2 linked regions of the Mus musculus genome follow. The protein of the gene in region 1 interacts with the protein of each later gene in a biochemical or structural test. Links are inferred from orthologs where the notes say so. Each region holds a gene or a part of one and is shown on either strand. Other genes may lie near its edges.

Region 1 (7,619 bases):
TGAGATTGACACTGTGAGCTGTGTGTGTGTGGCATGCTCAGAGGGAGGAAGCTATGTGTATGTGTATGTGTGTGTGTGTGTGTGTGTGTGTGTGTGTGTGTGTATGTGTGTGTGTGTGTGCGCAAGTGTGGCATGCTCAAGGGGAGGAGGACAGTCTCACATGCTGGCTGTGCCTTCTACCTTGTTAGAGACAGAGCTTCTTTGATGATCCTGCCCGTGTATAACCAGACTGGTCGGCCCGAGAGCTTTGCAGGGACTCTGGGCAAGTTTAAGGCTCACAAACCACTCATGCTATGCACCTGGCGTTTATATAGATTATGGGGACTCAAACTTAGGCCATCATGCTTGTGTGGCAAAAGTTTTTACCCTAAGCCATCTCTCCAGATAAGACTAGGCTTGACTCATCATGGGTAAATAGTAAAAACTGGGATGGCAGAGTAATACGAAAAGTGAACCAGGAACAAAAATATGTAGCTTAAATATATGACTGAAAATCTAATACCTAACTGAAATTGCAGCAGATGTTAAATGTTGTACAGGATAAGAAAAACTGGCAAGATGGAAATTATAAACTATAGCCACCAGTTTAAAAATACTTGGTACCTGTTTTTTCTTTTATTTTTCTGGTTTTGGTTTTTCAAGAGAAGGTTTTCTGTGTAATTCTGGCTGTTCTGGAATTCACTCTGTAGACCAACCTGGCCTCAGACTCACAGAGATCCCCCTGCCTCTGCCTTCTGAGTGCTGGAATTAAAGGTGTATGCCACCATGCCCAGCTGGCACCTGGTTTTCTAAATATAATTTTCCTGATTAAAGCCATGCATTCATTTCCACAGTTGCTTCTGCACTCTAAAGGCAGAAGTCTCTGACAAGGATACATGGCTGCAAAGTCCAAGGTAATTATTATCCATTCCTTTAAAAAAAGTCAACCCTGAAACACTACACATTTTAGCTATTTAGTACAATGAGTCACACTGTTAAATATAAACAGTTTGTAGTAATGGAGTATGAGCTTTGTGTTATTACTGAGTCCTGCCTCGCTGGCTTTTTTAGCTGGGTGTCACTGGTGACCCTTTGGGATAAAGGCTTGCTATCTAGTGTATTTTCTTGTAGGGAAAAGATAGGTCTCACTCTACATTATGAATAGCCTTTATTTATTTTATTTTCTATTGTATGACTGTTCTGCCTACATGTATGTATGTATGTATGTATGTGCTTAGTACCCAGAAAGGCCAGGAGGGACAGTGGCATTCCCTGACACGTGTACCTGGAGTTACAGATGGACGTTTGCCACCATGAGAATGCGGGAACTGACCCCAGACTGACTGCAAGAGCAACAGTGCTCTTACCTGCAGAGCCACCTCTGCAGCCCCCAAAGGAGGCTTCCTCAGGCCCACCTTTACTGTCATGGCAGCAGTCTGCTGTCAGTAAGTAGATTTTGTCACTGTCCATCTGTTATACAATACTTGACCTGACAGGCCTTGGTCTCCAGTCAGCACAAGAAGAAGCGAGCGAGCGAGCAGGTGCAGATGCTGCCTTGCTTCCTGCTTGTGGTATTTTGTAGATGCAACAACTAAGAAACACAGGGATGAGCACCTGGGGAGCAAATGTTGGCCCACACAAGGAGGAGCCACAGAAATCTACTCCTTCCTCCCCTGGAGCATTGCTGCTCTGACACAGCAGTTTCTATAGCGTCTCTGAAGGCATCTCATGCACTTGATAATGCAGCCATGGACAGCGTGCTCCCCGGGCTCACCGCTGAGTGCGCTCTGCCTCCTTCCTGCTTCCCAGGGACAACCCTTGCCAATGGCGTGCCAGCTGCAGGCGTTTGCTCAGGCTCCATTTCTAGGAGACCCTGGCTAGGACATAAACTTGTGTCTAATTTTACTGAGCGCCCATTAATCCTCAGCTAAGTTCACTTTGTTGTTCATTTTAGGTTTACTTTGTCTCCATGGGAGGCATGCTGGGGCATCGCTATCCTTAGGAATTTCTAACCACAGCGATCTAAGTGGAGAACAGTTTCCTTCTGACCGTATGGCATCCATCTTAGAACTGGGATGACCAGATAAAGAATAATGCAACTGCAGATAAATGTAAAGGCATTCGTTATAAGGGATTTTAAGATTACATTTTAAGTTATTAGCTGAATCATAAGATACCTTATTCACATAACTTATGAAAACATACAATTGAGTGGCTTAAACAGCAATGTATGGCACTAAAACTTGTCAAATACTCATGGTCGGTAAGGGCTGCCTGCTCCCCCTCAGGGGAGGTGATATATTATTGTTGCTTTGGTAAATGACCATGGTACAAAACTGCCATGGAGCTATTTACGAGTATACCTGTCTACAGCACTGCTCTCCATCTTAGAGAAGCTATTTGTAGGAGGCAGCAGTCGAGGCAGTATAGAACTGGTCAGAGTCCTGAGAAGAAGCAACTGTGTGTGCTCAGCTCTGAATGGGACATTTGCCATCAACCTTCTCCAAGGCTCAAGGAGCATTGTGGAGGACGGGGTGGAAAGAAGAGAAGAGCAAGCAGATAGGGTGGAGCTGTGACATGTGGCCTTAGGATAGCATGGCCACCAGAGTCATGAAGTCACAGCAGCTATGGTCACCTGCACTAGATCAAGCCCATCCGTACTCCAGCATGGTCGGGAGCATAAGGCTGCACCCCTAAGCGGAGGAGCTCCTGGTGAGTGAGGGCTGTCAGGAGAGGAAGTTTATTTTTCTTTAGGGGTACAGGTATGGAAAGTCACCCACACTCATGCACATTCCAGCAGCTCAAATGAGAGACTCTCCAAAACTCACAAGGACATGAAGGGGGAGGGGAAAGCATTGGCGGGATTAGGGGTAAGTATAGGGGGCTCAGGGTTGGATACAGTATGCATGTGTATGACTGCAAACCACACTAAATCCCGATCTTCTTGCTCTCCAGTGAGAAGAGAAACACCGCCTTCTCACGCGCTGCCATGATCATCTTTTCCAGCTTCGAGATTACAAAGTCCTACTTTAAAAAGCTGATATTCATCTGTTTGCTACCAATTCCCAAGCTGATATTCTGAGGCTGGGCTTTCCAAGGGGAATTATTATGGCCCTTAAATCAAACACACCACTAGCCGCATCGGCAATGAGACTTGAGTCTAGTCTCCTACCTTGACCCTGTATGTTCATGTATGACAGTGGCTAGAAGGGCTCCGTCTACTGTGAGCACTAAGAGGTCTCTGCACCTGACGGAGACTGAAATGCAGTTCCACTGCCACCTAGAGAGCGCATATGTATCTAGTCTGGACCACTGCACCCAGCGCTATAGTCAAAGGTTAGTTGAGGGTGACAACCATTGCAGTCAAGGCAGGACGCTCACCTGTGACATATATAACATGATCTGTCTTTGTGTGTGGGACAGCCTGTTCCTCCTCCAATTCCATAAACATACTGATTGCTTTTTGAGGAGTTTTCAGCAAAGTAAATTCCAGCTCCAAACATCCCTCCAATGTACGCATGTCGCTCATCAAACCCTTTATGAATAATTGCATTAATGAAAGGAGAACCTAAAAATATAAAGGTGGAAACATTAGTTTTTCAACACTTAGCCATTTACTATTTTCACTGAAATCTAGTAATGTTCACAAAGAAAAACAAAAACCAGAAAACTGCAGGTGGCTCAACTTGGAACTGGAGTTTAGCAGCAAATTCAGACAGTCACCGGCATGGCACAGGTTTTGGGAAGCCTGTGCTAACATGCAGAGCATTAGGAAATTAGGCATTATTTCAACCAAAAAAGTGCAAACAAGTCATTCCAACATAAGGTCAACAACGGACCCCAGTCTTCCCCCACTGCTGACAGCCCGATGCAGGCAGCGCTCACCGTGGAACAGCATGCGCTCATTGTGATGGTTGTGGTTCTCCTCAGACACCTCCTTTTGTCTGTGGCAGAATCGCTCCCTCAGCTTCTTATTCACAACTTTCTGAATCTTCATAAAGGACAAAAAATATTGTTCTTAATTAAATGTACATTTTGATTTGAAAGGACATGTAGTTTTTCCTTTGGTGGTATCAATTTTGGGTTTTTGACTGACACATTATCTAAGTCACCCTATCAGTGGAATTCAGTTAATATGCTAGTGACACAGTTATGTGGTGTCTCCTTGCTGCTTTCTGTGTGCCCATGAATGTGAAGCCAGAACCAACACTGAGAGTCTTGCTCTTACTCTGCACCTTATGTGAGATGGGTCCCTCACGGAGCCTAGGCTTGCTGCTGGCTAGACTAACTGACCAGTGGAGCTTTAGGGTCTCCCACCTCCATCTCCCAGCGTTGAGACAATGGTGCACACCACTGTGCCTAGGCTGTACCTGAGTGCTGGGGGCTCCAACTCAGCTCCCTAGAGTTTGTGTAGCATGCATTTTATCACTAAGCCAAACCAACCAACCAACCAACCAACCAACCGCTCATGGGTTATTGTAAGTCAATTAAGAAAGGACTAAACCAGTTTTTAGCAGATGTAATTAACCTTCAAGATAACCTCTGAAAAAGCAGATAATGGCAACATAGTTTTTTTTTCCTGTGATTTAAGAGATAAATGCATTCTGATCTCATCAATAACAAATAGATTGACAATCCAGATCTTTAAAAATGCAGTTTTCAAGTGATTTAAAATGAAGTTACTGCTGTTGAGGGTCCAAATCTGAGGAGATAACAGGCGGGGCTGCTGTGGTGCTGACCCCAGCGGCCTTTATGAGACCTTCGGGGCTTTGCTGTCTCACTGTGCTGTGGTTTCTAGCCAGGATGGTCTTGATGTTAGAGGTTGTAGTGAAGAGAACAGCATTTGATTTTAGGACAATGAATAAGTGTCTTTCACAATCTGAATTTTTCTTCCCAAATTCCTAGAATTCATTTAACTGTGTTAGTTTTGCAGTCCGATTCCCCCAGAACAACCAGCAGGCTTACTCGAATGACGTTGTATCTGTTGAAGATGCCGCCAGCGTTCCCACCGTCTCTGTGCTCTCGAATAGTGCTCTGCATCTGTAGGGCAAAGGGAAACAATTAACTCCATCAGAGCCAGAAGAAAGCATTCCTTCTGCGGTCTCTAGATAGTTCTTCCATCTGTTTCCCTGGTGAGTCTGAGTCTCAATCAGGAGCTCACTACAAACTTATTTTAACAAATTTAATGAGCATTTGTACTGAGAATATAGTCATAAATACTAATGAAAGCATTTTCTGATACAAATTTTGAAAGATATTTTTTATAGACATAACAGGGAAACTGAAAAATAATAGCACTTTAAAAATGTATAATTACTTTGTAATTAAGAATGAAAAGAAATTGAATAAATCAAACTAAAATGATATTCAATTGATACCACATTAGATAAATGCTAAAAATAAATATTTTAAAAATATTTTTGTTTCATTTTATCTCAGTAGTCTTTGGAATCTTGATACAGCAACTCAGGCAAGGGAAGCTGAGTAAACTTCACAATGAACAGAATAACCTTCTGAGCACTACAAACTCTCCCACTCTCAAACTTTAATAATTATTATGGAAAAACCTTTAGTGTCTTGGGCTATGGGCAGAACATCTGCTAAGCATGTGTGAGACCTTAGGTTTCTAGGCAGCATCACAAAAATGCCCCAAATTTCTGACACCTGAGCTCTCTACCCATGGCTCCATCTGCAAGGATGTGTAGCCTGTATCTTACACGACCAGAACTTACTATGGAGACAACCAGACCATAAGGCCCTAGAAGTCATAACATCTTTCTGATAACCTAACGCAAACTGAAACCATCCTGTGCTCCCAAATGTGACTTCCTAGCATTGAATGGAGATGATATGGGCACTAGTTAAAAAAAATAAACAAAACAAACAAAAGAAATCCTTAACTGCAGGCAAACCCATGTCTGCTTGGTGTTTGTATAATAATGGAATGAGGGAGCTTAATCACAATAATGGAGTTAGACATTGCATTAGGGGCAAGAAATATAAGCCATCAGCACAAGGGAAATTTCTTCCTTTTTTAAAAAAGATTTATGTGAGTACACTGTCGCTGTCCTCAGACACACCAGAAGAGGGCATCCTCTCCCATTACAGATGGTTGTGAGCTACCATGAGGTTGCTAGGAATTGAACTCAGGACCTCTGGAAGAGCAGACTGCTGAGCCATCTCTCCCGCCTGCTCTCACAGGAAGAATGTCTATGTCATCTTTCTACAAGGAGGTTCAAAGTAGTCTTATTATATAATGCTTAGAATAATTCTGATTATGGAAATTAACTGAGATAGACTCTTCTTTTATCATGTAATCAACATGAGAAAAATGTGACAATCAGGCACATTACTAAAAAACACTAATTACATAAACAAACAACCCCCAAAACAAACAAACAAACAACAAAAACCCTAGAAAGTGTTTTCTGTCTATGAAGCAAGATTCTTGCCCCATATCAATCTTAGGTGCATTTTACTGTATGAAAATGCTTTAAAAAGGTTCTTACTTACATGACTTAAAACTGACAAAATCTATAGAACAAAAATATGGAGCTATTCGCACATAGGCTTGTGACGTAAATGCAATGTGTATGGTTTTAGTCTACAGTCACATTTAAAGGCTGGCTGCTGCCTCCGGCTGAGTAGCAGGCCACGTGACCCTGTAAACAAAGTAAGATGAGTTCTTTCCCCTGGAAAGACCAGTCTTAACAGAACTTGGGCAAAGAAAAAAGTTCTGATGTCTGTTACCTCTTCTTCTACTGATTGATATTCTTTATCTTCTGGAGCAAGATCTAGCAAAATAGTTCCCTGATTCACACAGTGAAAAGTCAAATATGGATTGGTTCCTGTAGAAGAGAAAAACAAGAATACAAAGCACATGTCCATATCACTTGGCTTCCACACATTTATGGGAAACTTGGCTATAAATAGCTGACAGCTCAGAGCAATCTACACTATTTTCAATCTCCACCCCAATATACAGTCTGTAAGCAGATATACCAAAGGCACAAGAAGAAAGAAAGTGGTAAGGGGCTTCTCCCCTCCCATGAACCCTTTCTACACAGCAGGGCTCAGGACCTACTGAACTGAACTCCACCATGAACATAGTGATGCCTACGCAGAAGAGAAACAATGCTGAACTACAATAAAATGAGTTCTACGATACAAGAACTACCCTCTAAAACTTTCAGGAATGGCTTGAAATGGTCACCGACATAACTGATCTGTTAATTTATAAGGCTGACTAAAATAAATGTTTAAAAAAAAAGTCAAATTCAAACCCTCTCCATTTTGGCTGCCTGTACTTTTATCAGCTCCATAGATACATGGTCCTTCTCTTTGCTTCTCTCCTCTATGGAAAGTGTGTCTAACAAAGAGATACACAGAAAATACAGAAGTAAGAGAGGAGGCCTGTGGCAGCAAAGGATGATGGGAATGGTTGAACTGTGGTCCTGAGGGCAGCAGAAGAGCCCAAGGGAAGGCCAGATAGGCCAGGCTGTGAAAAACCATGGGGTAAGTGTCTGATTTTATCCAGAACGCTCCAGGGCCTGTGAGGGGTTAAAGGCATGAGGAGAGGTTGACAGGCTTGTGCTGGAGACCCTTGGTCGCTGTGGAGAAGTCAGTGAGGGAGGTGAAGG
Region 2 (3,756 bases), on another chromosome or scaffold:
TAATTTTAAGCCAGCCAAACTTTTTAAAGATCCACCGTCCCTAGATAATAAACTTGAATAAAATATTGTTTCTTTAAGGAAAAAAAAAGGCGAATCAAAGAAAAAAGATGAACATATCACAATAGAAATAAAAATATAAATGTCAAATTATATACAGTTGGACATTTTCTGCTTATCCTATTTAAAGTTAAGGTGTAATGAAATAAGAGTTACTCAAACAGAATACACTATATAGAAAACATATCAATAGGGGGACTACAAACCTTATTATGTGTATCTGTTTACTTACATATGTCTCTATTATAAACACAAGAAAAATGAGTAGGGGTCAGATGGGATTTAACAAACACATCTTAAAACTTCTTAAGAAAGATTCCCAAATTCACAAGTATGTAACTGTTACAATGTGTCAATTTTTATACTTCATCATCAAATCAGTTTTAAAAGTCTAAGTTAAGCTTGGAAATAAGTGTTCTGTCAAAACCCAGTTCAGTTAAGTGGGGTTCCATACTTTTGAGGGATCTTCTTGCCTTGTGTATGACTGCCCTTAAGAAGCCCCATCCTGTGACTCTATTTACTTTTGTCTCCGTCCTTATACTTAAGTGTAAGGCTTTAAATTCCTTCTCTGCAAAGTGGGCGTTGTATTGATTTCATTAACTCATGAGATACAAATGTCAATTTATATTTATATGTAATACATGTATTCTCATCTAACAGATGTTTCAGGCTGGCAGACATTCTATAAATAAGAAAGTCCTCTTATTAACTGGTGAGTGACCTTTGCCAAGTTATCCCTATGCTTTTGTTACTTTGCTCTAGCCAGCCTCTGTAATTGGACAACTCCAAACATTTTAATTAGCAGGCCTTTAACAACAGGCTTTGTATTAACTAACTAGAAAGGTAAATGAGAGTATACAAAGAAGCAAAGGAAGCTGTAGACTAGTGTAAACAGTGTGTATGCTCAAAAAGACTGTTTCTAATCCACCCAGCAGTTACCCAAGTTCAGACTCTGTGATCAAGAAGGCAACCAAGCAAGGAGGTAGAAAAGACTCGGATCTTCCATCTCTCATACTGATAGGGAAATGTGATAAGTCCTTCAAACTCATATATGGCTGACAGAAAATATGTTTTAAACAGATGGATATGAAAAATTCTTCCTATTATTTTCTTCTTCAAAGTCAAGGAATCATGTTGGATCCAAAAAATAAAACAAAACAAACCCTCCAACAGTTTCAAAGTGGCACTTTTACTAAATGGCATGTCTCCTACAAAAAAAAAAAAATCATTTATGTTTGCATTCCTGTTATCTAATGAACAGTTATTTGGGACATTTCCCCATGACTACAATTCGACTCAGTTCTTAAACAGCACAAAACAGAAACTTTCAAACGTTTAATAACAGGGTTTTCATTCTTTCCCCATTACACACGCCCAATTAAGACATAAATAAACTCTATGATATCCAAGACCCAAGCAAACATATCCAAAACTCCATCTTTACTGTAGCAGTTACTCTTGAGTTTTCTCTAAAATGAGATTTACTTCACCTATTTTCAAGTGTTTCTACAGCTCCCAGACGCTTTTCACGCTCTGCTAGTATGTGTGGGTCGTTTTCTTAATTTGTTCTTTAATATGCCATGTTCTTTAAAAGTCTAATGATACAGATCATTTATTGTTATGTTCTACGCATTCAACTTCTATGACAATACGTGCCTTTCAATGCCCAAGCTCCAGGTGCACATCTAGTTTGCAAAAGAACACACACACACACACACACACATACACAGATAAAATGTAGTTGTCAGAATGCGTGTGCTAACTTACAGTGGGGAAACATCTTACCTAATTATAGAGGACGGTTCCATTTCCACATCCTCAAAAACAATGTCACATAGCCCTTTCTCTTTAAAAAAAAAAAAAAAAAAAAGTCCAGAAAATAAGACAGTGACAACAATGGGGATCCCGTGCGCTCTCAGATGGGGTGGAGGGTTAAGGAGAAAACTCCACATCCAGCAAGCAGAACAAAGCGACTGCCGGAGCTCTCAAGATGCACCCGGCTTGGGAGGCCCAACTGGTATCCCGACACCTCAGGCTGGTTTCGGGTTTGGGGAGCCATCAAAACAAGAACGCTCGGCGGCTTCCGCCAGCGCGAGGAGGAGGGGACGACTCCGGGCACTGGGCAAGACCCAGAGGCACAGCCGCGGCGGCGGCGGCGGCGGCAGGGCAGGCGGAAGATAGCATGCAGCCCGTGGCCGACTGAGGCCCGGTCGAGCCCGCTGGAGCTGCCCGCAGCCTGGCCTGCCTGCGCAGTAATGGCCGGGGCCGCGCCCGTCACAGTCCGGGCTGCGCCAGCTCGGCCTCCCTCCGCGCGCCCGTCCGGGCCGCGCTGGCCAAGGGCGTCCCCGTCCTACCGGCCCCCGACCCGCCGCCGCCCGCCGCGGACTCCGAGCGCCGCCTCGCAGCCAACGAAGCCGCAGTGCCCCGCCGAGGCCCGCAGCCCACGGCCCCCCGCGCTCCTCACCGGTCCGGCCCGGAGCCCACCTCTCGGCCGCCGCCGCAGCCACCTCGCAGTCTTTTCTCCTCCGCTTCGGAGCCCGCAGCGGACGGGGACGCGCGCGGCCGTCACGTGACCGCCCGGCGCTCAAGGGGCGGGGCCGCGCCGGCGGAAGCCACGCCCCCTCACCGTGATCCCGCGCGCGGCGGCCCTGGCTGGCGGTCCCCACGCTGGCTGCTGCTCTTCTCTGTCCCTTGCTGCGACCGGGCTGCTCCTTGTCCCTGTTCCGGTCCTCCCTCACCCTCTGCGTGGCGCATCTTGTGGCCTCCTGGTTCTGAACTGGTGGAGGTCCATCTAGGTGGCTTGTGGGAGGAAGCTAGACCTTCAGTACCAGGAAGAAGAGCCTTTCCAAAACTCAGCCTTGGGTCAAGTCCTATGTTTCCTTTGGCCGTGCCCTTGGAGAGACTACCGCTTGTTCCTTATACAAAAAAGGCACAAGAAAAGTCACGGCGTGGACTGGATGGTCCCCGAGATGCTCCAATTTATTCACCTCACAAATGGCCAGATATGTAATGGGAGAGGGGGTGTGCTGGGGTGTCTTTTAAACCCTAACAGCATAGGAAGCTAGAAGAAGAAATCGTCCCGCGAATCTAGAATAAATTTCATGGGTTAGTTTTATGGCAAGCATATGGTGTTACACATCAAAATCTAGTCCTTGTTCATTTTAACCGGCACATGATCTTTTTCAGAACAGTTTTCTCTACTTGAAGTTGCACAAAATGGACCAGAGAACCTTTTCACCTTTGAAAGTATTTCCGCATTCTGTAACTGTTTGCATTGTGCTTGCAACAATGTTGCATTTTGAGGTTACATCCACTGTTTGAATTCAGGACTGAAAAATGTACTGTGCACCTATTTATAGGGTTTCAAGGCCACTGATCCAAAGGAAGAGCTCATCTGCTTAACATTAATAGCTGTAAATCCAGAGCATGGGTTCGGGTTATTCATTCAGTTGTTATAGGAAATATTATATGAACTTTTATAGCCTGAAGAGAAAAGGTTGTACATCAATGTACGTTGAAAGGGATAAGACATTGAATAGGTGAGTCGATGTGAGCAAGCATGTGGGTCTATTTCATAGGCTTCAGATGTTAAAATATTCTTAATTTCAAAGGGATCTAGCGGTAGGAGGCTGATTCACCTTACTTGAGGATCTGGGTTCAATCCCTAGTACCATTGAGGGAAGGGGTTGGGGGGATTAA

The links.
Region 2: the proteins of Tnks (region 1) and Rnf146 form a complex in vitro, tested with the Homo sapiens proteins (3 studies listed by BioGRID and IntAct, with this or other methods). The link is inferred for Mus musculus from reciprocal best matches to the Homo sapiens genes TNKS and RNF146.

What each region holds. Positions count from the first base shown.
Region 1 is NC_000074.6:34,835,024-34,842,642, forward strand, and holds part of Tnks (poly [ADP-ribose] polymerase tankyrase-1), read right to left. Parts: intron 6,828-7,619; coding exon 6,730-6,827; intron 5,020-6,729; coding exon 4,945-5,019; intron 3,971-4,944; coding exon 3,865-3,970; intron 3,548-3,864; coding exon 3,361-3,547; intron 1-3,360.
Region 2 is NC_000076.6:29,359,443-29,363,198, forward strand, and holds the start of Rnf146 (E3 ubiquitin-protein ligase RNF146), read right to left. Parts: upstream 2,262-3,756; intron 2,228-2,261; coding exon of another isoform or gene 1,954-2,227; intron 1,904-1,953; 5' UTR 1,843-1,903; intron 1-1,842. Other genes in the region: Gm30698 (verprolin-like), read left to right, coding at 1,954-2,227, 2,262-3,067. UniProt on the Homo sapiens protein: E3 ubiquitin-protein ligase that specifically binds poly-ADP-ribosylated (PARsylated) proteins and mediates their ubiquitination and subsequent degradation. May regulate many important biological processes, such as cell survival and DNA damage response.